4 linked regions of the Stegostoma tigrinum genome follow. The protein of the gene in region 2 interacts with the protein of the main gene of each other region in a biochemical or structural test. Links are inferred from orthologs where the notes say so. Each region holds a gene or a part of one and is shown on either strand. Other genes may lie near its edges. The genes, in order: ran, nuclear RNA export factor 1, rbm15 and alyref.

The links.
Region 1: the proteins of nuclear RNA export factor 1 (region 2) and ran form a complex in vitro, tested with the Homo sapiens proteins (2 studies listed by BioGRID). The link is inferred for Stegostoma tigrinum from reciprocal best matches to the Homo sapiens genes NXF1 and RAN.
Region 3: the proteins of nuclear RNA export factor 1 (region 2) and rbm15 form a complex in vitro, tested with the Homo sapiens proteins (2 studies listed by BioGRID). The link is inferred for Stegostoma tigrinum from reciprocal best matches to the Homo sapiens genes NXF1 and RBM15.
Region 4: the proteins of nuclear RNA export factor 1 (region 2) and alyref form a complex in vitro, tested with the Homo sapiens proteins (2 studies listed by BioGRID and IntAct). The link is inferred for Stegostoma tigrinum from reciprocal best matches to the Homo sapiens genes NXF1 and ALYREF.

The regions. Positions count from the first base shown.
Region 1 is NC_081379.1:1,447,558-1,454,765, reverse strand, and holds the start of ran (GTP-binding nuclear protein Ran), read right to left. Parts: upstream 3,012-7,208; 5' UTR 2,902-3,011; intron 2,122-2,901; 5' UTR 2,100-2,121; coding exon 2,064-2,099; intron 1-2,063. UniProt on the Homo sapiens protein: GTPase involved in nucleocytoplasmic transport, participating both to the import and the export from the nucleus of proteins and RNAs. Switches between a cytoplasmic GDP- and a nuclear GTP-bound state by nucleotide exchange and GTP hydrolysis.
Region 2 is NC_081395.1:11,825,386-11,832,476, reverse strand, and holds the start of nuclear RNA export factor 1, read left to right. Parts: upstream 1-4,090; 5' UTR 4,091-4,204; coding exon 4,205-4,232; intron 4,233-7,091.
Region 3 is NC_081374.1:584,196-591,810, reverse strand, and holds the start of rbm15 (RNA-binding protein 15), read right to left. Parts: upstream 3,003-7,615; 5' UTR 2,225-3,002; coding exon 1-2,224. UniProt on the Homo sapiens protein: RNA-binding protein that acts as a key regulator of N6-methyladenosine (m6A) methylation of RNAs, thereby regulating different processes, such as hematopoietic cell homeostasis, alternative splicing of mRNAs and X chromosome inactivation mediated by Xist RNA.
Region 4 is NC_081375.1:11,189,413-11,197,214, reverse strand, and holds the start of alyref (THO complex subunit 4), read right to left. Parts: upstream 3,018-7,802; 5' UTR 2,620-3,017; coding exon 2,329-2,619; intron 807-2,328; coding exon 675-806; intron 1-674. UniProt on the Homo sapiens protein: Functions as an mRNA export adapter; component of the transcription/export (TREX) complex which is thought to couple mRNA transcription, processing and nuclear export, and specifically associates with spliced mRNA and not with unspliced pre-mRNA.

The sequences.
Region 1 (7,208 bases), on a different chromosome or scaffold from region 2:
TTATCACTTATCCAGCTTTTCTTCCCTGGCTTACTAGTCTCAATCCTTTTGCCCAGTATCATCTTTTCCTCTACTTATCCTCATTCCATTTTGCCCCACCCCTACCATCATCTAAATACCACGCTTTCCCCTCCAACAAAAACAAAGAACTGCAGAAGGTGCAGATCTGAAACAAAAATTGCTAGAGAAGATCAGCCGGTCTGACAGTATCTGTAGGAGAAAGCAGAGTTAATATGGAGTCCAGAGACAGTGCTCTGCCAGACCTGCTGAGTTTCTGCAGCATTTCTGCTGTGTTTCATTACTGACTTTTGTGCTTTGAAAATTAGAAATGCCACTCAACACTTCTGTTACACCAAGACAGCTGGTCTCAAGTGAGCGCTAACTATCCAGGGTCAAATAGGGTTGTCAAACTCTTCTGGACTCAAGGTCCAAAGTTTCAGCCTTACCATCTAGAACTCAAAAATGTATAGAGGCATTGAAAATAAAGTTTTACCCTCCCCAACACTTTGAGGACTGTCAATCCTACCAAGCATTTTACATCAGAACTTAAAAAAAATCAAACTAGTAACAGTTCCATGAGACTGCTGGGAGAGGAGAAAAAAAGAGAGAAAAAATGATTAAATTAGATTACCTACAGTGTGGAAACAGGCCCTTCAACCCAACAAGTCCACACCGCCCCTTGAAGCATCCCATCCAAACCCATCCCCATTCCCTATAACCCACATACCCCTGAACACTATGGGCAATGTAGCATAGCCAATCCACCTAGACTACACATCTTTGGACTGTGGGAGGAAACAGGGCACCCAGAGGAAACCCATGCAGACACAGGGAGAATGTCTCTGTGTAGAGTTTGCACAGTCACCAGAGGCTGGAATTGAACCAGGGTCCCTGGTGCTGTGAGGCTGCAGTGCTAGCCACTGAGCCACCGTACCACCCCAAAAGGCATAAGTAAATTAGCCATACATTAAAGCTTAATTTTAACTAACCAAGGATATGAATACTGAAATGAACTGTTAGTGGAATCATCTACCCACTTATGAAGTGAGCATGAAAGACTAACTGCAGCTTAATGAAAACATCTTAAGCACTTCAAGAAAATGGAACAACATACACACCCTGATGGACCTAGATGCCCTTTAAATAAATGGATTGTTTGCAACTAAATAAAACCATGTAGTTTTTTTAGCCTCCTGATCATTACCACAAATGTTGGCAGTACAATGGCACCAGCAAGAGTAGTCTTATTGCAGTACTTCTACAAGCACCTTAGATTATGGATCAGTGCGATTTCATAAGAAAAAAGGAAACATACAAAATATTCTACTCGGGGGCATGTCATGTCCCATTTCAGTTTCCTCATTTTCCTCTTACCTTTTCACTTACCACCTCATTGTAAGCGTCACATAATAATCAGCCTTCACCTTTAGCACATGGTTAGTAGAGGCTGCTTATTATTCCATAAGAATCTTTGCAATACTTAAAACGCAGCTCCGTAGAGCCATTTCTGGCACAAACTCGCTGCTGGGAGTGAGTCACAATCCAATCTCATGAGCTGTACTGACATTGAAGACACATGGCAAGTAACATGGAGGCTGAAATAACTGAAGTCCATTTACAGAAGAACCAATTCTTTGATCAGAGTATTGTTACAGGTACTCCATATACACCCAAAACACAAGTACAACAATGACACACAACTTTCAGTTACATTATTTACTACAAACGGATTAAGCATATGAGATTCTCACAATCATTACTTGCAACGCAGAAGCTAAAGACTCCAACCTCACTGACTATTTCTGATAGGCATTAAAAATGCAAAAACAAAACATGGGTGGGCCAACATACTCAACATTGAGCATTAAGTGCACAGCTCTTCAAGCAATCAAAGGCAAACAGCACTTAATTTCTAAAATAAAAAAACCAAGAACCAAGGCACAAAGTGGACTGTTCATCCATTCAAAATTGCAGGCAGTTCTGTAACTTCAGGTAAAGCATGCAGAAGAAAACTGGTTTCTGAAAAGGACGCATTTACCTTCACCCCTGTAGCAGATTCTTACCTTGAACTGAACTTGAGGTTCTCCTTGATCACCCATAGCTTTTTCTTAAAAAAAAACCCTTTAACAGAAAAGACAACCTTTAATTGAAAAGCACAATCAGAAACGGGTCAGAAACACAGTTCAAGGCTTTACGTGTGTGGAGACATGGCGCATTATCACAAAAGGGCGGAAAGGACTCAAAAATAACGGTCCCCTGAAAGAATTTAAAGTGGCACAGAAAAGAGTGGCAGCAAGTCACAAAAAAAAAGGGTGGGACGCAGATAGTTTGCTGCCCCCTGGCCCAACAAGTGATTTTAAGGATTAAAAAAAATTGATAGAAATCAGCCTGGGACCGCAGCGAGGAGTTCCAGCAGCAAAAAGGCCGAACAAAGGGGATAGGCCCGGGGAGGGGAATGGGGACAGAGGAAGGCCCGAGGCGGTGGGGATGGAGAAAAGGCGCCATGTGCTGGCGCCGCCCGGGCTTCAAACCCGGGGCCAGGCCTTCGCTCCCTCCTCAACCCCGTGTACGCTTAGGGGGCGGAACCCGGGGGGGGGGGGGGGGGAAGGGGTGCAGAGTATCTCCCGGGGAGTGGTGGGGGCACAGTCTCCCTCCTGAGGGCGGGGGTAAAGAGACAGTGAGCCGGGAGGGGGACCCCAGGCTGAGGGAAGGCCTAAGGGCCCGGGAGAGCGGGAAATGGCGCCGCGGCCTCGCCGCAAACGGCCGAGAGCGGGAAGCCCAGGCCCGGGATTGAAAGGTGTAAGGGAGCCTCTGTCCACCTTTCCGTACCCTCCCCGGGATATCAGGGACACGGTAACCGCCCTCCATCCGCTCCCCCCACAACATCTCCCGGACCCTCACCTTCCAGAAACCTCTCTCCCTCAAAATGGACGCTCGAGCCTCAAATATTCAGCTCAGCGCAGCACGTGACCAGCCGCGGTGCGCGTGTCCGCAGAGGGAGGCGTGGGCTGGGTGCGCGTCCCCGCGGGGGCGGGGTTTTGTGTGTGTGACGGAGTGAGCGTGCGCAGGCACCGTTCGCGTGTCTCTGAGTGAGCATGCGCGCGGGGACATGTAACCATGTGGAGTTCCGTATGATCTGGCTGTATCCCTTTCCTACCTACTATCCTCATCCCGCCTTCCCTGGACTGACCTATCCCCTCCCTACCTCTCTTCTCCTCTCTCCATCTTCGGTCCGCCTCCCCCTCTCTCCCTATTTATTCCAGAACCCTCACCCCATCCCCCTTTTCATCCAGCTTCACACTTTATTACCTTGGATTCTCCAGCATCTGCAGTTCCCATTATCCCTGTACCCCCTTACCTGGGTTTGGTTTGTGGAAACAGTGTAATGCTGTCAGTCTGGGTTCAATCCACACACTTTGATCAACCTTTCCCCTCTCCTAAGCAATTATGACACTCAGGCTAAACTACCAACCTCTGTGCGTGTCTCTCTCGCTCTCTCACTAAAGAGCAGCCCTGTGGTCTGGTAAAACTACAGCAATTTGTCATTCCTCACCATGTAGCTGTCTGATCTATCACCATTCCCACTGTATTATTTACATTTTTTTCCACCATTATTCTGATTTTAGATAATGCTGGGTCTTCTTGCGTTCATACTTTGAGTAAATTGAGTGAGGAAGAAGCTTTTGAATTACTAATGAGTTGCAGAGTTTTTGACAGCAGGTAGGGAAGTGGAGTTCAGGCCAAAATGAGATCAGCCATTCAATGGTGGGCAGGTTCAAGGGGCTCAATAGCCTACTTCTGCTTAATGTTCATGACCTAATATTTGCACACAGCTATAGGTTGTACCCACAGCACATGGACTGCAGCGGTTGAAGAAGGCAGCTCAGCCCCACCTTCTCAAAGGTCATTTAGGGACAGGCCGCAACACTGGCCCATCCAGCGACACGCATCACACAAGTGAATAAGGAAAAGTCCTGAATAACAGCGTGGAATGGTCATAGTTCAGAAAGTGGTCATTGAGCTCGTCACATCTATTGCTAGCTCACTGATGCAGCAATTCAGATAGGACAGAAACAAAGCTGTACATGGTGGGAAGGAAAGCAATAAGTGAACGTGGAAAGCAGCAGAAACAGAGGGCAGCATCAAATAGGTTCAAAATTCAAAACATGTTAAAAAGACAAAATTAAAGGCACAATTATCGGTTACTAGTGGTGTACCACAAGGTTCTGTTTTGGGGCCACGGCTGTTTGTCATTTTTATAAATGACCTGGATGAGGGCGTAGAAGGATGGGTTAGTAAATTTGCAGATGACACTAAAGTCGGAGTCGGGGTGGATAGTGTGGAAGGATGTTGCAGGTTTCAGAGGGACATAGATAAGCTGCAGAGCTGGGCTGAGAGGTAGCAAATGGAGTATAATGTGGAAAAGTGTGAGGTGATTCACTTTGGAAGGAGTAACAGGAATACAGAGTACTGGGCTAACGGTAAGATTCTTGGTAGTGTGGATGAGCAGAGAGATCTCAGTGTCTATGTGTATAGATCCCTGAAAGTGCCACCCAGCTTGTTAAGAAGGTGTACGGTGTGTTAGATTTTATTGGTAGAGGGATTGAGTTTTGGAGCCATGAGGTAATGTTGCAGCTGTACAAAACTCTGGTGCAACCGCACTTGGAGTATTGTGTACAGTTCTGGTCACCCCATTATAGGAAGGATGTGGAAGCTTTGGAAAGGCTGCAGAGGAGATTTACCAGGATGTTGCCTGGTATGGAGGGAAGGTCTTATGAGGAAAGGTTGAGGGACTTGAGGCTGTTTTCGTTAAAGAGAAAGTGAAGAGGTGACTTAATAGAGACACACAGGATGATCAGAGGATTAGATAGCAGGGACAGTGAGAGCCTTTTTCCATGGATGGTGATGGCTAGCACGAGGGGACATAGGTTTAAATTGAGGGGTGATAGATATAGGACAGATGTCAGAGGTAGGTGCCTTACTCAGAGAGTAGTAAGGGCGTGGAATGCCCTGCCTGCAAATCAACAGCTTTAAGGGCATTTAAATGGTTGTTGGATAAACATACAAATGATAATGGAATAGTGTACATTAGATGGGCTTCAGATTGGTCTCACAGGTTGGCGCAACATTGAGGGCCGAAGGGCCTGTACTGTGCTGTAATGTTCTGTATTCTATGTTCAATGTAGGCACAATTATTGCAGATGATGTATGCTGTAAATTGGGAGAGGGGAGTGTGCAGTGGGACCTCAATATCCTCGTGCATCAGTTGCTGAAGGTGAGCATGCAGGTACAGCAGGCAGTAAAGAAGGTAAATGGTATGTTGGCCTTCACTGCGAGGGGTTTCGAGTACAGGAGCAGGGATGTGCTTTTACAGTTGTACAGGGCCTTGGTGAGACCACACCTGGAATACTGTGAGCAGTTTTGGTCTCATTTTCCGAGGAAGGATACTCCTGCTCTCGAGGGAGTGCAGCGAAGGTTTACCAGGCTGATTCTGGGGATGGCGGGTCTGACGTATAAGGACAGATTGACTAGGTTGGGATTGTTTTCATTGGAGTTCAGAGGAATGGGGGTGATTGCATAGAAACTTATAAAATTCTAACAGGACTGGACAGGGAGGAATTTCCCGATGGTGGGTGTGTCCAGAACCAGGTCACAGTCTGAGGATTCGGCGTAAACCATTAAGGCGGGAGGTGAGGAGACATTTCTTCACCCAAAGAGTGGTGAGCCTGTGGAATTCATTACCGCAGAAAGTAGTTGATGCCAAAACATTGAATGTATTAAAGAGGCAGCTAGATATAGCACTTGGGGCAAATGAGATCAAAGGTAATGGGGCAAAAGCAGGATTAGGGAATTGAGTTGGATGATTAGCCGTGATTGTGATGAATGGTGGAGCAGTCTCAATGGGCTGAGTGGCCTCCTCCTGCTCCTATCTTCTAAGTTTCTATGTTTCAAAACAAAAAATACTAATGAAGTGTCACCTGGACTCAAAACATCAGCTTGTTGTCTCTCCATGGATGCTGCCTGACCTGCTGTGATCTCCAAGTACAAAGGCACTCCACCTGAATACAGAGATAATGGGAACTGCAGATGCTGGAGATTCCAAGATAATAAAATGTGAGGCTGGATGAACACAGCAGGCCAAGCAGCATCTCAGGAGCACAAAAGCTGACGTTTCGGGCCTAGACCCTTCATCAGAGAGGGGGATGGGGGGAGGGAACTGGAATAAATAGGGAGAGAGGGGGAGGCGGACCGAAGATGGAGAGTAAAGAAGATAGGTGGAGAGGGTGTAGGTGGGGAGGTAGGGAGGGGATAGGTCAGTCCAGGGAAGACGGACAGGTCAAGGAGGTGGGATGAGGTTAGTAGGTAGCTGGGGGTGCGGCTTGGGGTGGGAGGAAGGGATGGGTGAGAGGAAGAACCGGTTAGGGAGGCAGAGACAGGTTGGACTGGTTTTGGGATGCAGTGGGTGGGGGGGAAGAGCTGGGCTGGTTGTGTGGTGCAGTGGGGGGAGGGGATGAACTGGGCTGGTTGAGGGATGCAGTGGGGGAAGGGGAGATTTTGAAACTGGTGAAGTCCACATTGATACCATATGGCTGCAGGGTTCCCAGGCGGAATATGAGTTGCTGTTCCTGCAACCTTCGGGTGGCATCATGGTGGCAGTGCAGGAGGCCCATGATGGACATGTCATCAAGAGAATGGGAGGGGGAGTGGAAATGGTTTGCGACTGGGAGGTGCAGTTGTTTGTTGCGAACTGAGCGGAGGTGTTCTGCAAAGCGGTCCCCAAGCCTCCGCTTGGTTTCCCCAATGTAGAGAAAGCCGCACCGGGTACAGTGGATGCAGTATACCACATTGGCAGATGTGCAGGTGAACCTCTGCTTAATGTGGAATGTCATCTTGGGGCCTGGGATGGGGGTGAGGGAGGAGGTGTGGGGACAAGTGTAGCATATCCTGCGGTTGCAGGGGAAGGTGCCGGGTGTGGTGGGGTTGGAGGGCAGTGTGGAGCGAACAAGGGAGTCACGGAGAGAGTGGTCTCTCCGGAAAGCAGACAGGGGTGGGGATGGAAAAATGTCTTGGGTGGTGGGGTCGGATTGTAAATGGCGGAAGTGTCGGAGGATAATGCGTTGTATCCGGAGGTTGGTAGGGTGGTGTGTGAGAACGAGGGGGATCCTCTTGGGGCGGTTGTGGCGGGGGCGGGGTGTGAGGGATGTGTC
Region 2 (7,091 bases):
TTACCACACAGCCCGCCACTGCACACCCCCTGTTGTTAGTCACTAACAGTCCCCATTAACAACTACTCACCCTCCCAGCCAGATCGTTAGCAACTCCTTTGCCTGTCCAACTGTCTTTTTCTCTCTCCTTGGGCTCTGTCCTGTCGTTTACTCCCTACCCCACCCACCCACCTCCCTGGTTTCTGTATATAAACTGACATTTTCCCAGTTACCATCAGTTCTGAGGAAGGGTCACCGGACCCGAAATGTTAACTCTGTTTTCTCCTTCACAGGTGCTGCCAGACCTGCTGAGCTTTTCCAGCAACTTTTGTCTTTGTTCCTGATTTACAGCATCCGCAGTTCTTTCAGTTTTAAAATGTGAGGTGAACTTGATTAGGCCACTATTGGAATACTGCATGCAGTTCTGGTCTCCTTGCTATAGGAAAGATGTTGTGAAACTCGAAAGGGTTTGGAAAAGATTGATGAGGATGTTGCCGGGGTTGGAGGGTTTGAGCTACAGTTTGATGCTGAAGAGGCTGGATAAAAACCAAAAGAACTGCGGATACTGTAACTCAGGAACAAAAATAAAGTTGTTGGAAAATCTCAGCAGGTCTGGCAGCACCTGTGAAGGAGAAAACAGAGTTAACATTTCGGGTCCGGTGACCTGATGCTGCCAGACCTGCTGAGCTTTTCCAGCAACTTTGTTTTTATTCCTGAACAGGCTGGGGCTATTTTCCCCGGAGCGTCAGAGATTGAGGGGTGACCTTGTAGAGGTTTATAAAATCATGAGGTGTATCGATAGAATGAATTGCCAAGGTATTTTTCCAGGGTGGGGGAGTGTTGGAGAGAAACACGAGACCAGTGACAAAGACTCAGGAGGCAGGCACAAGGCAGTCTTTATTCTTGTTCAACCAACAACTGGTTAATGCAGGGAGAGGGCCAAGGACTTCCCTGAATCTGGCCTCAGTGTGTGAGAACCCAGTTGTTCTCTTAATCTTTGGCTCAAATCGGAAGAACGATCAATTTCATATTCCAGTGCTCACAGTGAGATAACAGAATTTTGGACATTTTGTGTTATAATAATCATATACAACATTGTTACTGTGTCCCTCCCCTTATTCTATACATTCAATCCTGTGAACCACCTAATCAATGATGGACATTCCTGTTGACAGCCCTAAGATCCCATGGGTCTCATGATGTTTAACAGACATTATAATCTCCAGGCCTTGGGATCTTTCTATTCATTCTATTAATTCACGTTCCAAAGTTACTAGCTATACTCCTTCGAATACATCCCAGACTTGCTTATCTCTAAGGACTGCTTGAATTCTGTTGCCCCTTGTATTCCTTTGCTATCTCCATCAAAATCTGTTACCCACCTTATATTTTCCCATTGTCCTAATTATATAAAAACAAAATACAGAAGACAGTTGGTTCTAACTAACTGCCTTAAGATTTGGAAAATTAATTTCTAATATATAGTTGGTTTAGTGTAAAATTTTATAGCTACCTCTGCTGTGAGCACTCTTTCGCTAATAAGTTGCAAGCAGTTTATTTCATACAGGACATGATGTTGTATACTTGTGCTGATAATTACGTTGGAATCTATCTGTGTGATCATCTGAAGAATCTTTAACTAGAACCTATTTCTTAATATTGTAACAATTTTAAGAAAATAAAACTAATTACTGCTAAATAACTTTCGCTGTTGTTTTCACAGCTGTGTGATGAATTAGGTTGACTGTTTTATGGGCTGAGATTTAGTGTCCTTATTCTGACTGATTCTTTCCTCCTAATGGGATGACATCCTTTCATTAACAAGGCTGGAATCAGTCACTTTTTACAGTTTAATGAACTTGTTTAATGCTACAGTTTTTTACAACCTGCAGTCTCAACGAGTTCATCTGTGTTTGTTACAAATTTTCAAGCTTGCGGCCCTTGACCACCCTCTTATTGAGCTGACCCTGATTGCTGCCTGTACGGGGCCTCCTCCCAACCCCCAAACCCCCTTTCACCTTGGAGTAACCCCTTTTCAAAGGCACCATAGTTTCACTTAAATGCTGGAGCAGGCATTTAATTCTGTTTATCCCCTTATCGGTCATTTTGTGTCTTTCAAATATGAGCAGCCGTGACAGTTAGCCTAAAACTGGAAGTCATAAGTTTAAAGTGAGAGGGGAAGAATGCAAAGGGTGACAACATTTTCACACAGAGGGTGGTGCGTGTATGGAACAAGCTGCCAGAGGAAGGGGTGGAGGCTGGTACAATTACAACATTTAAAAAGCATCTGGATTGGATACATGAAAAGGAGGGGTTTAGAGGGATATGGGCCCAATGCTGGCAAATGGGACTGGATTAATTAAGGATACTGGTTGGCACAGACTAGTTGGACCAAGGGGTCTATTTCCGTGCCATACAACTCTATGGCTCTTTGAGATAGATTTCTGATCACCAGTGGCATACTAGACTGGGTAAATTAACAATGATTGTATTGAACAGTGGGCCAACAAGCTGATTGACCTGCTTCTGTTCCTGTAGATATTTTTGATTTATTTTCCATAAAATGATATAAAGCCAATTTCAATAAAACAAAGAACGGTGGATGCTGGAGATCTGAAACAAAACACTGGTGGAGAAGCTTAGCAGGCCTGGGGATAAGAGTGAATGATTTTGCATCCATTATGACTCTTCGGAACAAAAATACATTTATCCTGTTTCTAGGATAAATCCCCTCACACTAACTCCACCCCCCCTCCACTCCTTCCCCCTAAACACAACCCCGACTCTGTTACTCATAACCCCACCGCCTGCCTTCCCGTAGCTCTATGCTCATTCCCTTCCCCTAATTTTTTGGAACAAACACAGAAGTTGCTGGAAAAGCTCAGCAAGTCTGACAGCATCTGTGAAGAAAGAAAAATCAGAGTTAACATTTTGGGTATGGTGACCCTTCCTCAGAACTGTTCTGATCTGAGGAAGAGTCATTGGACCCGAAACATTAACTTTGAATTTTTTCTTCACAGATGCTTTTCTAGTAAGTTCTGTTTTTATTCCTGATTTACAGCATCCATAGTCCTTGAGGACCCTTTTTTTTGGATTTGATTGCCCTGGGGGCCCCCTTCCTGCAGGAGGACTACTTTTTGGAGCTCATTCAGTTTTACTGACACCAATTTAACATTAATTTATTCAGTACTTTAACCATTTATACACTTTATTCTGTAATTCACCGGAACCTGGCAACATCATCCACTTTTCACCCTACCTGGGTACAAGTGACAATGTTAAATACGTCTGTGAGATAATAGATTCAAGTGCTCACAATCACAAAGTCTTGGAAACAAGTTACTTGCACTTTATTACGAGTCTGCAGAATCGGGTGCCTCCCATTGCCTGAGACACACACAGGTCAGGGAGTCGCCTCTTTTTATACATCATTTTATCCATCTATGTCCTCCACTTTCGGCTCTGTCCAATCTGAGCTCCAAGGTGCACAATCTTCCCATGTCGTCCCTTGTCCCACCCTCATCATACATTGCATGTTATGTTAATTAAGCAGTCTCGTAAGCATGGGTGTGAAAGTTAATATGCATTGTCTTATTAAGCATGCGCTTCAACTATGTCTATGGTGCAAAGCAAAACTTAGCAGTTTGGGTCCAGTTCATTCTGGTTTCTAACTGCTTGGCCTTCACTCCCTTATCTTATCACTCAGCTCAGTACCAGATGTCTTTGTTTAAAGCTGCAGTTAACTCATCCCTGTCTCTCACACGTCCAACCTAACCCCATCAGCAGCATAGACACATCTCTTCTCCTAACTCCACTTCCGGGTCCCCAAGCCCCGCCCCAAAGCGCTTGAAGCCAGCCCCGCCCCGCCTCCCTGTGACGTCAGGGAGCACCAAGCGACGCCAGTGATCTGGTGGACGCGCACGCGCGGTCGTTGCGGCGCCGTGGAGCGCGCACGCGCGTCGGACCGATTGTCCGTGGGTGAGGCGCCATCGCACATTCCTGTCAGAGCGGGCGGTCACACACAGACACACTACCGGGGGCGGGGTGTCCGTTAGAGCCTTAATCCCACAGAGCGACCAACACAAAACGGAGCCAACCAGCAGGACATCCCACGGTATCTTCTTTCTGCCTCCCCGCCCCCCCGCTCGGGTGTCATCCCCTGAGGAGCTCGGAGGGGAGAAACGGAGATTACTGACCGGATCCAGAGGAGGGAGACGAACGGGACATGTCGGAGGACGGGCGGCACTACAGCGGTAAGGAACGAGGCGGTTTAACGGACAAAGGTTCGACGCGTCTGACAGACAGACAGACAGACAGGCCGGGGGTGGTGGGGGTGGGGGAGAAGGTGGAGGCCTGGCGTTAGGCCTTAGAGTACAGGGTTGCACTTTGTATCCCATCGCCCCCCCCACCCCCCCAAACACCAAACCTGCCCCATCACCCCCCCCCACACACACCAAACCTTCCCCATCACCCCCCAAAACATACCAAACCTTTCCCATCACCCCCCAAAACATACCAAACCTTTCCCATCACCCCCCAAAACATACCAAACCTTCCCCATCACCCCCCAAAACATACCAAACCTTTCCCATCACCCCCCAAAACATACCAAACCTGCCCCATCACTCCCCCCACACACACCAAACCTTCCCCATCACCCCCCAAAACATACCAAACCTTCCCCATCACCCCCCAAAACATACCAAACCTTCCCCATCACCCCCCCAAAACACCAAACCTTCCCCATCACCCCCCCAAAACACCAAACCTTCCCCATCACCCCCCCCCAAAACACCAAACCTTCCCCATCACCCCCCCAAACATACCAAACCCCCCCCATCACCCCCCAAACACCAAACCTTCCCCATCACCCCCCCCCAAAACATACCAAACCTTCCCCATCACCCCCCCCAAAACATACCAAACCTTCCCCATCACCCCCCCAAAACATCAAACCTTCCCCATCACCCCCCCCAAAACACCAAACCTTCCCCATCACCCCCCCAAAACACCAAACCTTCCCCATCACCCCCCAAAACATACCAAACCTTCCCCATCACCCCCCAAAACATACCAAACCTTCCCCATCACCCCCACACACACACCGAACCCTCACCGCCCCCCCAAACGCTCCGAACCCTCACCGCCCCACCCCCCCAGATGCACCGAACCCTCACCGCCCCACCCCCCCAGATGCACTGAACCCTCACCGCCCCACCCCCCCAGATGCACTGAACCCTCACCGCCCCCCCCCCAACCGCTCCAAACCCTCACCGCCCCCCCCAGATGCACTGTACCCTCACCGCCCCCCCCAAACGCTCCGAACCCTCACCGCCCCCCCCGATGCACCGAACCCTCACCGCCCCCCCAACACACCGAACCCTCACCGCGCCCCCCCCCACAAACGCACCGAACCTTCACCACCCTCCTCCCCCCCCACCATCCCCTGCGCTTCTCTTCCCCTGCCCCCCAAGCCCACGCTTTTCTACTACCCCCCACCACCATGCTGGCTCTTCTATTCCCGCCCCCTTCCACACCCTGTTTTGTCTCCCCATTGCCCCCACCCACATATCTTCTCCCCCCTCCCCCCCCCACACACTCCCTCTGTGTTCTGCAAAATCCTCCTCCCCCATGGTCTGCTACCCCACCCCCGCCCCCGCCCCCACGGTCTGTTCCCCAACCCCTGTGGTCTGCCACCACTCTTCTCCTGCATTCCGCCACCCCTCCCTCTTGTGCCTCTGACTCCGCTCCCCTCGCTTTTTGCTCCCTTGGCCGCCCACTCACAGCACTTGTCTTCCCACCCCACAACCCCTTGCACGCACTCCCCCATCCCGTCCCTTGCTGTGACCCCTCTTCCCCCAACCTGCTTGACGACTCACTGGCCTAGAATCTTAGTTGCATTCTAAGATGTCAGTGACTTAACAGCTGTGCAATCGTGTCAATATTCACTACTAAATTTTGGTGTGTAACTTACACTAATTTCATGTGGTGAAATTTTTCAACTGCTACTGTTGGCTCAACAGTAGAGATATCAGGCAATGTCTGAGGACATTGTCAGGAAGCTGTAAAGCATGGCAGAGTGCATGAAGGTTGCTCTTGTGATCTTTGTGCTTTGTCAGAGATTGTAGGTGTTACCACCTCCATCAGTGAGCTTGTGGTCTTGCAGATTTCAGTGGTACTGATTAGCAGCCTGACTTGTGTTGTTGGATAGTATTGAGTCTTCTGAATGTTGGTGCTTCACCTATCACCTCTAGTTCTGCAGTGTTCTGAATTTGAGCCCTTTCAGTTCTGGTCTCTTGATCACCCCTGATTTCCATGGTGCACCATTGTTCATCACGCCTTCAGATGCGTGGGTCCTAAGCTCTGTAATTCCTTCCTTCCCTCTTCTGTCATCCAAGTTCATTCTCAACTCTTAGGCCAAGGTTTTGGGTCATCTGCTTAAATATCTCCTCATACAGGCTGGCATCACCTGAATTTTTCTGACACACTCTGTCACACAGCACCTTATGTTTTTATAATGTAAAAGGCCCCATAGAATTAAGTTCTGGTTGAAAAGACGAAAAGAAAAGCCCGTCCAAATGCAGTCAAATACTTCCCAAAGCAAGATCTGTCTGATTGACATCTTGCACCAGCAAATGCATAATTAAACCTGAGGAGAGAGTGAAGGAGCTTCATTCTAAGATTGAGATAACAAAGTATAGAGCTGGATAAACACAGTAGGCCAAGCAGCATCAGAGGAGCAGGAAAGCTGACGTTTCGGGTCTAGGCCCTTCAGAAATCTTCAGAAACTGGCCTAGAATCAACTAGACCGGAAACGTCAGCTTTCCTGCTCCTCGGATGCTGCTTGGCCAGCTGTGTTCATCCAGCTCTACTCCTTGTTATCTCGGATTCTCCAGCATCGGCAGTTCCTGCTATCTCTGTAACCATTCTAAGATTGATCTTTTGAAGATTGAACTTTCCTGGAAATTCCCACAGTTCTCCTCAGTGTCTGCTATCACCCATACACTTACACTGAAACCATATACATTAAAAGAATGCTGTTCACTGAAGTTCAGTACCTCCTGCAATTTACTTAAACTTCTGAAGTTGGCAGGATTTCAGAATTCTGACTT
Region 3 (7,615 bases), on a different chromosome or scaffold from region 2:
ACATTCCTTCTACATTTTCCATGCTGTTCAATGCTGGTACAGCCAATAGGACACAATAGCCATTAGTGCCTGATGCCTTGATGCGTCTTGTTACCTCATCCAATTTAGGCTGATCTAGTCGTAAGCGCTGAGTGATTTTTAACTGTGCGACTTTTCCACCAGTTGAGACATCCATTAATAAGTTGGCCGCAACGCCAAGATCACCCTCAAGGAAGTGCATGTTTGTGGAAAAAGAACTATTCTTCAGTACCAGCATTCCATGCCAGGCTACATTTAATTTGCGTTCGTATTCCCGGAAGCCATCCGATGCTTTGGCATTGCTGGAGTCAGATTTAGTCTTGCTCCTTGTGGGACTTGCACATTCTGTAGTTCTATGTTTGCGGTCTTTATCCTTTTCATTCACATTGACAGTTTTGGTCTCATGTTTACCACAGGGCACTTTTTCTGTGCTGTTACAACGATCCCTACTGGGCGAATACCGCTCATTCTTAACATCACGGTCTGAATCACTGTGGCGTCCACCATCACGACTGCTATTACCCGGGCTGCGATCCGGGGAAATGCATCGTCGTTTTCTGGAGCGGTCATTGCTAGGAGAACAATCAGCTGGGCGTGTATCTGGAGGGCCTCTCCTTTTCCTTCTTTGGTCCCAATTTTGCAAAATATGGTCACGCCCACGTTCAAGAGACCAGCTATCCCTGACTTCACGATCCAGATGATCGAACTGTTCATGGCTATTTCTGTTTCTTTCCCGGACTGAAAGGACATGCCAGTCATTGCCTGGGAAAAGCTCTCTTTCTCTGTAATGCATTGGAGGAGAATTTCTTTCCCTACCCCTCAGACACTCTGCACCTCGAGGAAGAAGGCCATCTCCAATCAAATCAAAAGGAGGTAGAGGCAAGGCCTGCAGATACTGTTGAGGATAACGATGTTCTGTATCCGCAAAGTCAACTCTTAGACGTCGATCTGGTCCACCCAAGGGAAAGCCACGCATCTGAGTACATGCAGCTTGTGCAGCATCCAAGCTTTCATACTGAATATAAGCCCAATTGTCTCCCTTTCTGTAGTCAATTGATCTTATGGTCCCAAATCGATCAAATTCCCTTGCAAGACCTGCTACAGGAACCCAGGCACCCAATCCTCCAACCCACAATCGAGTGGTAGGCGTTGCTTTCCCATATCCAATTTTGATGGGATTTCGTCCAATTACTTTTCCTGACATTGCCATCTTAGCTCGATGGGCCATGTCCAAGTTTTCAAATTTCAGGAAACCATAAGAATTTCCTTGCCCACGTGGTGGCCTCTTGATATCCACCTCCAAGATAACGCCAAACCTTTCAAACGCAAGCAGAAGGTCATTTTGTGACACTGAAGGGTCCAAGTTACCAATAAACAACGTCCTGTTAGCTCTTTTGTCATCTTCTGGCAAGATTTCATCCTCCCTAAATGTGGTTCTATCAAGTGTGTAAGCAGCACGTGCCCTGCCTTCATAAAAGGCATAATCCCGCTCTCTTTCCAAATCTCTCTGAGGTGGAGGAGGGGGAGGTGGTGGGGGTGGTAACTGACGCCCCAAAGAACTGCGTTGCTGAGTTCTATGCTCTCTGTAACCAAGTCCAGCAGGGGACAGAGATCTTTGCCTGTGTCGGTTGCCTTGGACACTTGGTGCAGAATACCCATCCATTTCAGGGGAGTAACTTCTTCCTTTTGGAGGAGGATAAACTGTTTCAATTTTTAGAGGGCGATCATGCAGTACCAATCTGCCCTTGGCGTGCCTAGCAGCCTTAGCATCCTCAGAATGTCTGAAATTCACCAGGGCCACTCTTTCATCACCATCCCTGGAAATCTTCACACTGACATCCCCAAACTTCTTAAACTCGTGGAAGAGGCCATCCTCAATGGCACCATCACTCAACTGGGAACCCAGATTGCTGATCTTGAGGGTTTTGTATTCAGCAGGCTGTCTCTCAGTCCTACTTGCCCTTGAGGAAGCGGAAGAAAGACTCAAGTTATTAGTAGTCCGGTTGGGAGGGTAAACATCATAATCTCTGTTGTTGGTCCTTTTGCCGCTAATGTTGCGAGCCCTCTTGGCATTGCCGTGGTTTTTGTTGTTCCTGTTGATGCTGTTGTGGGTATTCCCAATTTTCCTCGGCTGTTGGTGATGGCCGCTTCGCCTTTCCTCACCGCGTTTTCCGCCAGTTTTAGGCGACACGTCTTTCTCCTTCATATTCCTTAACGACAGGAATTAGCAATCCAGGTTGCAGGAAAAGACAAAAATCAATCTTCCACTAAAAATACAGACTGATATAAAAACGGGCGGATTGCACTATCTCCTCGCCGCCGTTCCTTCACTGGTACTCCTTCATTATTTCCCTTTCCCCTTGGGAAGGAATAGAAACAATCGACGCTTTTAAATCGACAGTTTACCTCAGATAATTCATTAATCTACCGACTGAATCCCTTTTTTGATGGTTTTAAATCGATTATTTCTTCCCGATATTTTTTTCCACAGATTTTCACCAACACCGAAAATCCACTCGGGCCATCGCCGCCATTTTGTACCTGATCCCGCCCCCAACGCCCACGCTGAATGGCCAGAACCTTTGTGTCCCGCACTATGATTGGCCGGGACCACTAGGCCTCGCTCTGTGATTGGTCGAGATCACTGGGCCTCCCCATGTCACTGGCCGGTGCTGTGTCACTCAGTAACGCCCTGGTAACGCACTCGGCAATGTCTCATAAACCCTGTTCTAAAGTCGAATGGAGGGCCGGATATCCCTGAATTTATTAAACAATCTAACGAATTTATTAAGCGCCACCTGAATAAATCCTGGAGAATTTTACAGTCTATTCAGTAGCACTTTACTTTGATTGGGCCCAGGCAGGCTATTGCTTGGCCAATCGCCTGGCAAACTTCTAACGAAGACTTGCTGAGCGGAACCTTGAGGAAAATCATGGCCGTTGGGCGATGGAAATTGGAAACACGAATAAAAAGATCAGACCAGAAATTCCGTTCGAATTCTAACGTCCGCCCCTATCCCCCCGCATCCATTGGACGCGACGCCGTAGCACCACGCCCTCCCATTGGCTGCTTCCCACATCCTTCTGGCAGAGTAGCTCCGCCCTTTTCCCCTCCCCCTCCCCAATACACATTATATATGATCTCTCGCACAGATGGGGAAGGAGGAGCTGGTCCTGGTGGAGTGTGGTAATCGGTGCAGGGCTGGAGGAACACAGCAGGCCAGGCAACATCAGAGGAGTAGGAAAGCTGACATTTGGGTCTGGACCCTTTTCCTGCTCCTGAGATGCTGCTTAACCTGCTGTGTTCATCCAGCTCCACATCTTGTGATCTCACATACACACGGTAAGCCATTTGCCTGACCAAGCGTGTGGGCTTGACATGTTGACTTTCCCTCTTCTCTGACCTGCTGTAGCCTCACACCTACAGACTCTGGCTTCCAGCATCTGCAGACCTTATTGTCTCCAAGCCATTCACCCCATTTAGTTCAGACAAAGGTCCATCAAACCTAAAACAGTAACTCTGATTTCTGTGATAATAAAATGTGAGGCTGGATGAACACAGCAGGCCCAGCAGCATCTCAGGAGCACAAAAGCTGACGTTTCAGCTTCATCAGAGATGAAGGGTCCAGGCCCGAAACGTCAGCTTTCCTGCTCCTGAGATGCTGCTTGACCTGCTGTGTTCATCCAGCCTCTCATTTTATTATCTTGGAATTCTCCAGCATCTGCAGTTCCCATTAACTCTGATTTCTGTCCCTGGCTGGTGCCAGACATGCTGAACTTTCCCAGCAACTTCTGTTTTTGTGTCTGATTTACAGCATTTGCAGTTTGTTATGTTCTTATTAAGTGATTTACAGCATTGTGATTGTGCTGTTGTGCTTCTGAAATTCTCTCTAACACCATTCTTGTTCCCTACTATTTCCCTTGTAGACCATCTTCCATTATTTATCCAAACTCTCTCGCTGTCTGAAAACAAAACTGGCTGTCCGATAGAAGACAGAGGGTGGGAGTAGTTGGAAAATATTCAGCCTGGAGTTTGGTGTCTTGTGATGTGCTGCAGGGATCTGTTCTGGGGCTGATTATCTTTATAAATGGTTTAGATGAGAAAGTGGAAGGGTGAGTCAGTAAGTGTGCTGATGACATGAAGGCTGGAGGAGTTGTGGACAGCATGGAGGGCTGTTGTAGGTTGTAATGGGACGTTGACAGGATGCAGAGCTGGGCAATGAAGTGGCAGATGGAATTCAACCCAGAAAAGTGTGAAGTGATTCATTTTGGAAGGTCAAATCTGAATGCAGAATACAGGGCTAATGGCAGGAGTCTCAGCAATGTGGAGGAGTAGAGGGGTTTAAGGTCCACATCCATGTGTCCCTCAAAGTTGTTACCCAAGTTGATAGGTTTGTAAAGAAGGCGTACAGTGTGTTGGCTTCATTGGCAGGGGAATTGAGTTTAAGAGCCATGAGGTTATGCTGCAGCTCTATAAAACTCTGTTTAGACCACACTAGGAATATTGTGTTCAGTTCTGGTCACCACATTACAGGAAAGATGTAGAAGCTTTAGAGAGGGTGTAAAGGAGATTTACCAGGATGCTAGATCGGAGATAATGGAAACTGCAGATGCTGGAGAATCCAAGATAACAAAGTGTGAAGCTAGATGAACACAGCAGGCCAAGTAGCATCTTAGGGGCACAAAAGCTGATGTTTCGGGCCTGGACCCTTCATCAGACCTCACTGCAAAGCCTCTTCCAGGGATGCCTAACCTGAAGAAGTTACCCTCCTCCCTCTGGACCAACCTCTGATGAAGGGTCTAGGCTCTTGTGCTCCTAAGATGCTGCTTGGCCTGCTGTGTTCATCCAGCTTTACCAGGATGCAGCCTGGACTGGAGGGCTGGTCTTATGAGGAAAGGTTGAGGAAGCTAGGTCTATGTTCATTGGCGTGACGAAGGATGAGAGGTGACTTGTTAGAGGTTTGCAAGATGATGAGAGGCATAGATAGAGTGGATAGTCAGAGACTTTTTCCCAGGGTGGAAATGACTATTACGAGAGAGCATAATTTTAAGTTGATCGGAGGAACGTATAGGGGAGATGTCAGAGGCAGGTTCTTCACACAGAGAGTGGCGGGCGTGTGGAATGTGCTTCCGGCAGTGGTGGTGGAGTCAGATACTTTTAGTTAGAGACTTTTAAGTGACTCCTGAATAAACACATGGAGGATAGTAAAATATAGGGTGTGCTGCGTAGATTGTTCTTAGGATAATAGGTCGGCACAACATCGTGGGCTGAAGGGCCTGTACTGTGCTGTACTGTTCTATGCTACATGTTCTATTTTCTTTTGGAATGTTACAACTGAGGTGTTTTCAACATCCTTTTTGGCAGTGCTGATGGGATATCTTTCCTAATTTTGCCTCTGGATCCTTTGTTAGTTGTTATAAATCCATGCCCTCTGTTTAAGGATCCTTCTCCAGACATCATGAAGCTCTTCGACATCAACGACAGTTGCATCAAATGTTCACTTAAGTTCCTCTTCTATAAGGAGAACAATCACAGCTTCCCTTGAATATTCACTAACTGAGTCTTCCATTAGTAGTTTCACTGATAAATTTCCTCAGCCTCATCTCTTATGGTGAGTTGTCTAGAATTGGACACAAAATATTAGCTGATGCCTCATAAAAGTTTTATAAAATTTTAGCAAAATTTTCTAGCTTTTGCACTTTCCAGGCTTCTGTTTACAAAGGCTCTGCCCTCTGTGACTGAATCTTCAGCTTCCTGACCAACAAACCACAATCACTGAAGATTTGCCAATTGCACAGCCTCCATGAGAACAGTCATCACTACGCCCCCCCCCCCCCAAGAATACATGCTCAACACCCTACAGTACTCCCTGTACAACAGCATTGCCAAAATCTAAACAAACGCCATCCACAAGTTTGCTGATGACACCACCTTGGATATAAAACAATGACGAATCAGAAAGGAGATAGAGGGCTTGGTAACATGGTGCAATGAGAACAACCTCTCTCTCAACGTCAGCGAAACTAAAGAACTGATCATCGACTTCAGAACAGGATGTCAACATGCCCCCATTTACATCAATGGTGCTGAGGTTGAGTGGGTGGAGTGTGTGAAGTTCCTAAGAGTGACGATAACCGTCAACCAGTTTTGCTCTTCCCACGTAGATGTGACGGTCAAGAAGGCACAACAATGCCTCTTCTTCCTCAAGTGGTTCAGTAAATTTGGCATGTCCACTGGGTCCTTCATCAACATCGACAGATGCACCATTGAAAGCATACTGTCTGGGTGCATAATGGCCTGACATGACAGCTGCTCTGCCCAGGACTGTAGGAACTACAGAAGGCGGTGGCATAGCCCAGACCATCACGGAAGCCAACCTTCCATCCATGGAGTCGGTTTACTGTTGGTCCGTTACCGTAGAAAGGCTGTCAATGTCATCAAAGACACATCACACCCCAGAATGATCTCCTACAAACTCTTCCATCAGACAGAAGATAGAGAAGCTTCAACACATGCATGAGCATATTCAAGAACAGCTTCTTCCCTGCCATTCTTAGACTGATGAATGGACTCTCTAACTTCAAATATTGCTGAACTTGCTAATGTTGATTTTGCCTAGTGCACACCCTGTGCGAAATAACTTGTATGTTTCTGTCTAGCTTTCTCCACCCTATGATCTGTACATCCTTGCTGACTATGATCTGCCTGTACTGCTTGTAAACAAAGCTTTTCACTGTACTTGGGTACATTTAACAATAAATCAATCAATCAATGGTTGCATTTTTTTTAACAGCTTTACCAATGTAAAAGATTTAAGTACGTATGCCTTCAAGTTTCTCTGATCCTACATCTCTTTACAATTGTCCCTATTAATTTGCATTCCCTTATTGCGGTCTTCCTTCCAAAATGTACATTGTCAAACTTATCTATGTTAAATTTGATCTGTCATGGGTCTCAATGTTCATTTGGCTCCAGAGTTAAGTTCTGAATCAATGCCACAACAATCAGGTCCGTGAAGTCCTGCTCCATGTTAGTGACAGTATTCTCAATGATAATGATGGTGTGGAACTTACGTGGTTACAGAGCTGAAATTTGTAGCTGTCAAACCTCTGTAATTAACCAAGGTTGAACACTATTCGCTAATTTCAAGGATATCTCCAACTATCTACGTTCAGAGAGGGGATTTTTTTATAATGAAGGAATCATCTGTCAGGGATTAGTCTCCACACTTGCCTGGATGAGTACTGTTCCAACAACACTCAAAAGAATTGATATTATCCAGGACTAAGCAGCCTGTTTGATTGGTACCACATGAATAAACATCATTTCCCTCCATCACCAATGTGTAATAGCAGCAGCGTGCACCATCTGCACTTAGGAAACAGTGGCACGGCTAGACAATGTTACCATAGATTTACAAATGGGAAATCACATTTGACAAATCTACTGGAATCCTTTGAGGTGTAACCAGTAGAGTTGATGTGCAAGAGCCAGTGGACATGGTTTACTGGACTTTCAGATGACTTCCAACAAAGTCCCATGTAAGAGATTAGCATATTAAATTAAACCACAAAGGGATTGGAGGTAGTGTATTGA
Region 4 (7,802 bases), on a different chromosome or scaffold from region 2:
GATGAGAACTGCAAGACCACTCAGAGCAAAGCAATGAGTCAAGGCCATTTACTTCAACAGCTAATATTTAAATCATGTCAGATTTCTGAAGACTAATGACAGACATGGGACATGGAACTACAAGTCTGAAGTCTAGAAACAATTAAAACCTGGAAGTGCATTAAGCAGAAGATACTCAAAAGTCTTTGAGGACAACATACTGGAATGAATAAAAAGGTACATGAAATTCAAGTGAGATGATGTTTTGGAGGAGGATTCCGCTCCTTCTGGAGAAAGGAAATGGTTTGATAAAAGGGGGTTGAAACAATGCATTTAGATAGGAACAGTTTTTAGTGGCTCAGTATATCATCTTATCAAACCAAACTGATCATCAGATTTATTGGCCAGAGTACCTAGACTTTAGGATCTGCAGGTGATGGGGTGCTGGACATATATTTAGAGTAGCCAAAACAACGTAACATAACAAAAACCACACTTCAGGGAGAAGAGTCTGAGGGGGGATAAAAAGAGAAGAGAATAGCAAGGCCAACTGTATTGCTATTTAAAAATAACTTCCACACTATCCTGTTGTATTGTTTAATCAGTGGCAGGAAGAGTTCAATTCTAAACAAACTAGAATACCCATGAGCATTTCCAACCCACAACTCAGGACCAATATCCTGCACTTCACTTACCTGAATATCTGCATCAGACACACCAAAGTCTAAGTTGGACACCAAGAGTTTTCCACCAGTTTCAACACCGCCGCTAGCGCCAAAACCACTGTCAAAAAGGTCATGCTGCCACTTGTCTGGGAGTTGTTTCGGCTATAAGAAAATAGAGATATACCTCGCTGACTTCCTACATTTTGTACCCCAATACATTGGTTAATTTCACATGTCCACCCTATCTATCTTTCCCCTCCCCCTATATTTACAATATATTATAGGCAAGACTGAGTCACTTGCTTCAGCGATTGTCATGGGAGTTTCATTACAAATACACTGACCTTACCTGAAATGGGTTAACTATTTAACAAAATGACATGTGCGTATGTACTGAATATAATTTAGTATCTAATTAAAATGTTTGTACTCAGTTCACTAAGCTAGCAACATATAAAGTGGTCCTGTACACACAATGATAGATGAAAATTAAGCATAGAAAATCAGATGCAACTGTTTACTTGGTGAGAAATGAATTCACTTATTATCCTACCACTGTTTCCACAGCACATCATCTCGAACTAAAGCCTGGATTCCTTCTAATAGCCACTAGCCAGATACTTTGGTGAAATTCTCCTCAGCTGGTGGTAGCTTCTCCAGCAGAAACAGCTGCAACGCCTCCATCTCTTCCAAGCGAGATGCATTCCACTGTCCAAAATTCTTGGCAGCGCAGGAGTCCATAACAAAGGAACGCTTTGCATCAGCTAAGTTCCTTTTAATAGAACTGATCAAGAGTCCTTCAAAAAAAAAGTCCATGACTTGCCAGGTAACCAACCGAGCGAAGGATATGCTCGCAGAAGGTTCACTTTTGTATGAACGTTTCATTAAAGTCCAAAGAAAAAGAGGCAGTTTGAAATAGTCCTGATCAATTCAGGAGTCTGTTAAAGGTGACCAGAGATGCGAAGCTGCCGTCGAGAAATGCGGTGCAAATAATCAATCGAACTTTTGATGTGGTAAAGTGGCAAAAGGTGGTCCTTACAAACAGTCCATCCTTTGTAAATCCGTCGGTGTGAAGCACAAAGGGAGCGAGGGCATTATTACTGCGGCAGGATTGCTGATCCCCACGCTCCTCCCCGACATCTTTGTGCTTCGGGTCGGGCCGCCATTTTAAAGCTCCTGGTGAATTCGGCTCCGGTGTCGACCGCAGGCTCTGCTCGGGAGCCGCCATCACATTTCCGAGCTCTCAACAGACTTGGACGGACGTTTAAAAGCAAATTATTAGCAACGAAAACACGAATTTCCGCTTGTCAGCCTCCTCCGTAGAAATCACGAGGCGCCGTGTAACAATCCCTTCTTCCTCGATTCTCCGACGTTTTCACGAAAAAAAATAACTCGTGGCCAGCGGGGCCCGGGGTTTGTTTTAAAAAGTTAGCGGGCTAAAAGATTTTTGTTTTAAAAAAGTAATGAAAAAAAACCGAATCTATAACGGCTCCAATATGGCGCCGCTCGGTTCAAAATTCAAACCGAACGTTTTATATTAAAAAAAGCACTTCCAGAAAAAAAACAAAATAAAAATCTACAAATGATTTGTTTTTCCTTCCTCTCTCTCTGGATTTAAATGAAACATTTTTTTCCCCTATCATTTCTGTTTTTTTTGTGTGTTAAAACCGCGGTCGCTTCCTACCCTGCTGTACGGAGCCGGTCTGTTTCTTCCTCGGATTGCACTCTGTCTGTTGCGCATGAGGCCTACAGCCAGGGCTCCCGCCCCAGCTCCACCGCCACCGCGGCCTCCCGCTGCTCCACGACCGGCTAGGCCGCCTCGGCCGGCTCCCCGGCCCATACCGCCTCCTCCTCCACCACCACCACCACCTCCTCCGCCGCCGCCGCGGGCACCTCGGCCCCCGCGGCCGCCTGGGCTTTTCTGCCGGTTGAGTTTGATGATGTCGTCCAGGGACATGTCGAGTTTGTCGCCCATTTTTGCTCTCGGAGAAAGGAAAAAAACCCTTTAATCCCTTTCTCCCGCCCCACACAACAAAACCGCCTCTTCACGACGGAGGGCTTGGCTTTCGAGTATCCGACAGGGGAAACGAAAAACAAGCTAATTTTCCAGATTCATCAACAAAAAAACACCTTGATTAAAGAGTGTGTTTTTTTATATATATATAATGTAAATTGGTATAACGATCTATCGCAGCTTTGACCGCGGCGCCGCACCTCACTGACACGGTTAATGGCGGCTTTAAGGACAGAGAGGGCGGGATGGGGAGTGACGACGGCCCGTCCACACACTGCGCACGCGCTGCCCGCCACGGCCGGTCACAATAGCAGTCGTCATCAACGACTCCCACTTAGGATGCGCCCAATCAGCGGGCAAGGCGGGAAGGAACAAACAACGGGGCCGGGCTCTGCCCATTCAGAGAAACTGAGCATGAGACGGAACCCCCGCGGCGGTGACGTGTGCTGACGTCACGCGCAGCCATGGACACACCCCCTCGGGGGTAGCAGGAACTGCAGACGCGGTAAAATCTGAGATAACAAGGTCCGAAACATCTGCCTTCCTGCTCCTCTGATCCTGCTCGGCCTGCTGCGTTCCTCCAGCTCTACACCTCCTCGGGGGAGCAGTTTCTCAGCCTTCATTGGTAACTCCCACAGGAGTTGGGGGGCGAGATGTGGGGAATGAGCAGGGCTGGGTAGCAATACATGGATGGGAATAGGGTGTGTGTGTGTGGTAGGTTGATATGTCGGGAAGACGTTCTGAGGAAGGGAAACGTTAGCTCCGTTTTTTCCCCCTTCATGGATGCTGCCAGACCTGCTCAGATTTTCCAGCAACTTTGCTTTTGTTCCTGATTTACAACACTCATTGTTATTTCGGTTCTGATTTGTGGGAGGGCTATGTGGTTGGGATTTTTCTGCGGGGGTGTGGGATATTTATATGGTGGTGTAAGGGGCATATTTGAGAGGGTGGGCATTTTGTGGGAGTGATTTGAGGGACGTTTCAGGGAGAGGTGGGGGAATTTTTGGGGGAGATTTAGGTTGAGTTGGGGTGAATGGGGTGGGATTAGGGAATCAGATGTGAATGCAGAGAAGTATGGGGATTGGAGAGACAGGGATGCGAGGGATGGGGATAGGTCTAGGAGAAAGATTGGGGGATGGTGGTGTGGAGGGATTGGGGAATGCTAAAGAAAAAATGTTGTAATGCAAAATGGCAAAGATTACCATCTAAAATTGAATCACACATTTCATTGATCAGCTATTAATTTTAACAAGTGTCTTTTGAAGGGGCATACAGAAAACATTGAATCAAAAACGTTTCCACTATTTTGTCTGTACACTGCAGCCCCAGTGGTACCAACCTATCAGTTATAGAAACCAACAACCATACCAGCAGGCACAGCACCTGCCTGCTGCAAGGAAACCTAATCATCAAATAGAGGCAGGTTCCGCTCATCACTGCTTGCTACATGGTGTTGTTCAATAGTTATTTTAGCTTGCTCCAGGGGGCAGATCAACCTTTGTCCCTCTCTATGGCTGGCTGTTTAGACTGAGTCTCCATTCACATATAGGGCTGGGCTACATTAAGTAAAGCCATACAACTGCAGCTTTTTGTTAACATTCTGTTTGCCTCCCAAAATTAGTTCTGCTATTTCAACTCACATCTGGTATAAGTCTAGCATTTTATAGATTCTACCATTAACCCTATCTCCTCTAGTAATATTATAATTTATTGATATCATCATAAACTCGGATTGACTTCAACACAGTGTCTGACTCCCTTGACAGTCCAAAGGGGGAGGCGACGGTCTAGCAGTTTTAATGCTGGACTGTTAACCCAGAGACCCAGGTAATGTTGTGGGGGTCCAGGATCAAATCTTGCCGTGGCAGATGGTAGAATTGAATTTCTACAAAAATCTGTAATTAAGAGTCTAATGATAACTATAAAACCATTGTTGATTGTCAGGAAAAAACCCATATCGTTCATGAATGCCTTTAGGTAAGGAAACTGACATCCTTACCTGGTCTGGATCACATGTAACTCCATCTCACAACAAAGTGGTTGACTCTGAACTATCCCCTGGAATGAGGAACAAATGTCGGCATAGCCAGCAATGTCCCCAGTTAGTGAATGATTTTAAAAAAACATTGCTGCACTGTCCAATTGCCTGCATCAACCACAATTTCCAGATTAATGCAATCAAAATTTAACCCATTCTGTTTGGCCCCTGCCTATAGTCTTTAAATTTGGCCCTTTCCCCCTCTCATATACTCCCTTGGCAACTACCTTTAGGCTAAATCAGGAAGTGTAGAGCTGTTCTACGGTTCAACTTCAAGCTGAGCTCACTAGACATCTATTCTGATGGGGATTGGACTGCTTTCTTCCAACTTCATGACAATGCCACACATCTGTGATAATAAAGTGTGGAGCTGGATGAACACATCAGGCCAAGCAGCATCTTAGGAGCACAAAAGCTGATGTTTCGGGCCTAGAGACCCACATCTGTTTCCATCTCTTTCTCTCCAGCTTACAAATCTTGAAGCCACGTGTTCAGCATTTTACAACTTAACATCAGTAATGAAACTGCATTCCTTCCTGTGTAAAGATTCACCTTCCCATTAGCTAGCACAGTGGCTCAGTGGTTAGCACTGCTGCCTCACAGTGCCAGGGACCTGGGTTTGATTCCACTCTCAGGTGACTGTGTGTGCAGAGTTTGTACATTCTCCCCTTGTCTGCATGTGTTTCCTCCGGGTGCTCTAGTTTTCTCTCACAATCCAAAGATGTACAGGCTAAATGGATTGGCCATGCTAAATTGCCTGGAGTGTTCAGGGATGTGTAGATTAGGTCGGTTATAGGGGGATGGATCTGGGTGGGATGCTCTTAGGGTTGGTGTGGACTAGATGGGCCAAAGGGCCTGTTTCCACACTGTAGGGATTCTACGATTCTATCTGCACAATAGTTCCATAGCCTCACCCCTCACTAACTTTGCAACCTTGTCCAGCCTCTCAAGTCTTCTGTACTCCTCTAATTCTGCTTCTTGTGCTTTCCTAATTATAATCAGTCCACCATGCCTTCAGCTGCCTAGCCTGTGAGCACTGAAATACCCTGCTTAAATTTCTTCAAGCTTTTTCTACTCATTTAAGACATTCCTTGAGACCTACCTCTTTGGCTTCTCCTTACGTGTCAGGTGCCAAGTTTTTGATTATCAGCCTGCTATGTGACGAGACATTTCTACCACTAAACACAAGATGTTGCTGTCCTCTCCAAGAACCATGTGTTTTCCCACCCCTAATTCAAGTCCTTGCATGGACCATCCTCAGTGGTAATCTCTCGCCTTGCTTCCAAGTATATATCCTTCATTTCATACACTTTCTCTTCCAGTTTGACCAGCATTGATCGCTGATTCACACTTCTTACATTACTACAATTTGTATAATTAATTTTCTGTAACTCAAACAAAGCAGTTGCAGCAATCAGTTTCTTTCACACTCAGTTGCTGTTTCTTTTCAGAAGGTCAATGCAATTGAATTGGCGATGCAACGAATACTATTAAACTTCAAGCAGGATATGTTGGTTCAAATTCCATTAACGTTAAGCTTTGCTGTGAGCATTTCTTTCAAAAACTGGACTCCAAAATGAGGGGATAATTAACGAGGAATATTGTTGATGTTGTCTGTGGGTGGAGGAAGGAAATGTCAAACTATTTTGAAGGCATTTCATTAAATACATAATTGTATTTGAGCATTGCAGATCCATTCATAACTTTAAAGGATTTACTGAACAGTCTGAAGCAGGCTAACTTGTTTCAATGGCATAACTTAGAAAATCTGTGCTATATTTTATGGGTTATTGTTTTTGATTCTGCTCATTTTGTCCTTCAGAATAAAATTACAGTAAGAAGCCCATGGGAACAAATACATTGAGTTTGACATTCAGAAATTTATTAGTTGTGCTTGGCATCAGTCACTACCCCCTCAGGAACAATTATTCTTCTGTTTCATCTGTTGAAAATTGTCATTTCCTGGTTACATTCCCATCAAGAGTGAACATATCCCACATGGATTATAAAAGGTCCCAATGTTAAAATCACTGCAGCTGATTAAGGGATGAGTCAAAGGAGACAAGGACATACCTTCTGCCTAGTCACAACTGATTCTATTGATGATTATCATTATTTCTGTACTTTTCAAGAAAGAAAAATCAAAGTACTATAAATGTGGAGTCGGTAATAAGGGCTATAACTGATGAATAAATTCATACTTTATGTTCTAGCAATTGAACAATTACTACCAGTTTGGTCTGAGAATCTTAAATCTCTAATCTTTTACTGCTAATATCTTTCTCAAAGTCAGATTTATATATAGCTATCCCATACGATGTCTGCATTTGTTTATGACAAACTGTTCAATGGATTAAAAACAATTACATTTTGTAACAACATTTGTCATTTCCTTATGATTTTTCATTTTCCAACTAAATTGGTTTGATTCTCAAGAAAGATTCTTGATAAATAACATTTCAATGTAAATATTGGGATAAGGGTTTTAAGAATGGTGGTACTGAGGGGGTGGTTTATGTGGAACATGACCCTGATCGGTCTAATAGTCTCTTTCTATGTTGCAATTTTTTTTAATAAAAAGAATCATTCCCGGTATGAGAGCATTTCTGGCGAGGCCAGCATTTATTGACTATTCCCATTCGCCCAGAGGACAGTTCAGAGTCAACCACATGATGTGGGTCTTCAGTCACATGGATGCCCGAGATGGGTTTTTATGACAATCAACAATGGTGATCATTAACCTACATTTTATTGCAGATTTTTATTGATTCAAGTTTGCCACGGTGAGATTTGAACCCATGTCCCAGAATATTACCCTGGGATTCTAGAATACTAATCTAGTGATATTAACACTACGTCACTGCCTCCCTCTTTGTGATTCATAAATTATAGTTGATTGAATCTGCTTGTAGCTTATTCTTAAATAAATTATATAACAGCTAACCCCAGAAAAGGCATGTAACAGAAATGCTGACATCCACATATAGCTATTTTAAAGGCTGGCACGAGTAATATTTTCTGCTCTGATCTGACCTGTACCCAAGATAGGATATGATTTTTCATACAAATTTTCTATTGTAACACAGCACAAGTATAAACGGTAGAT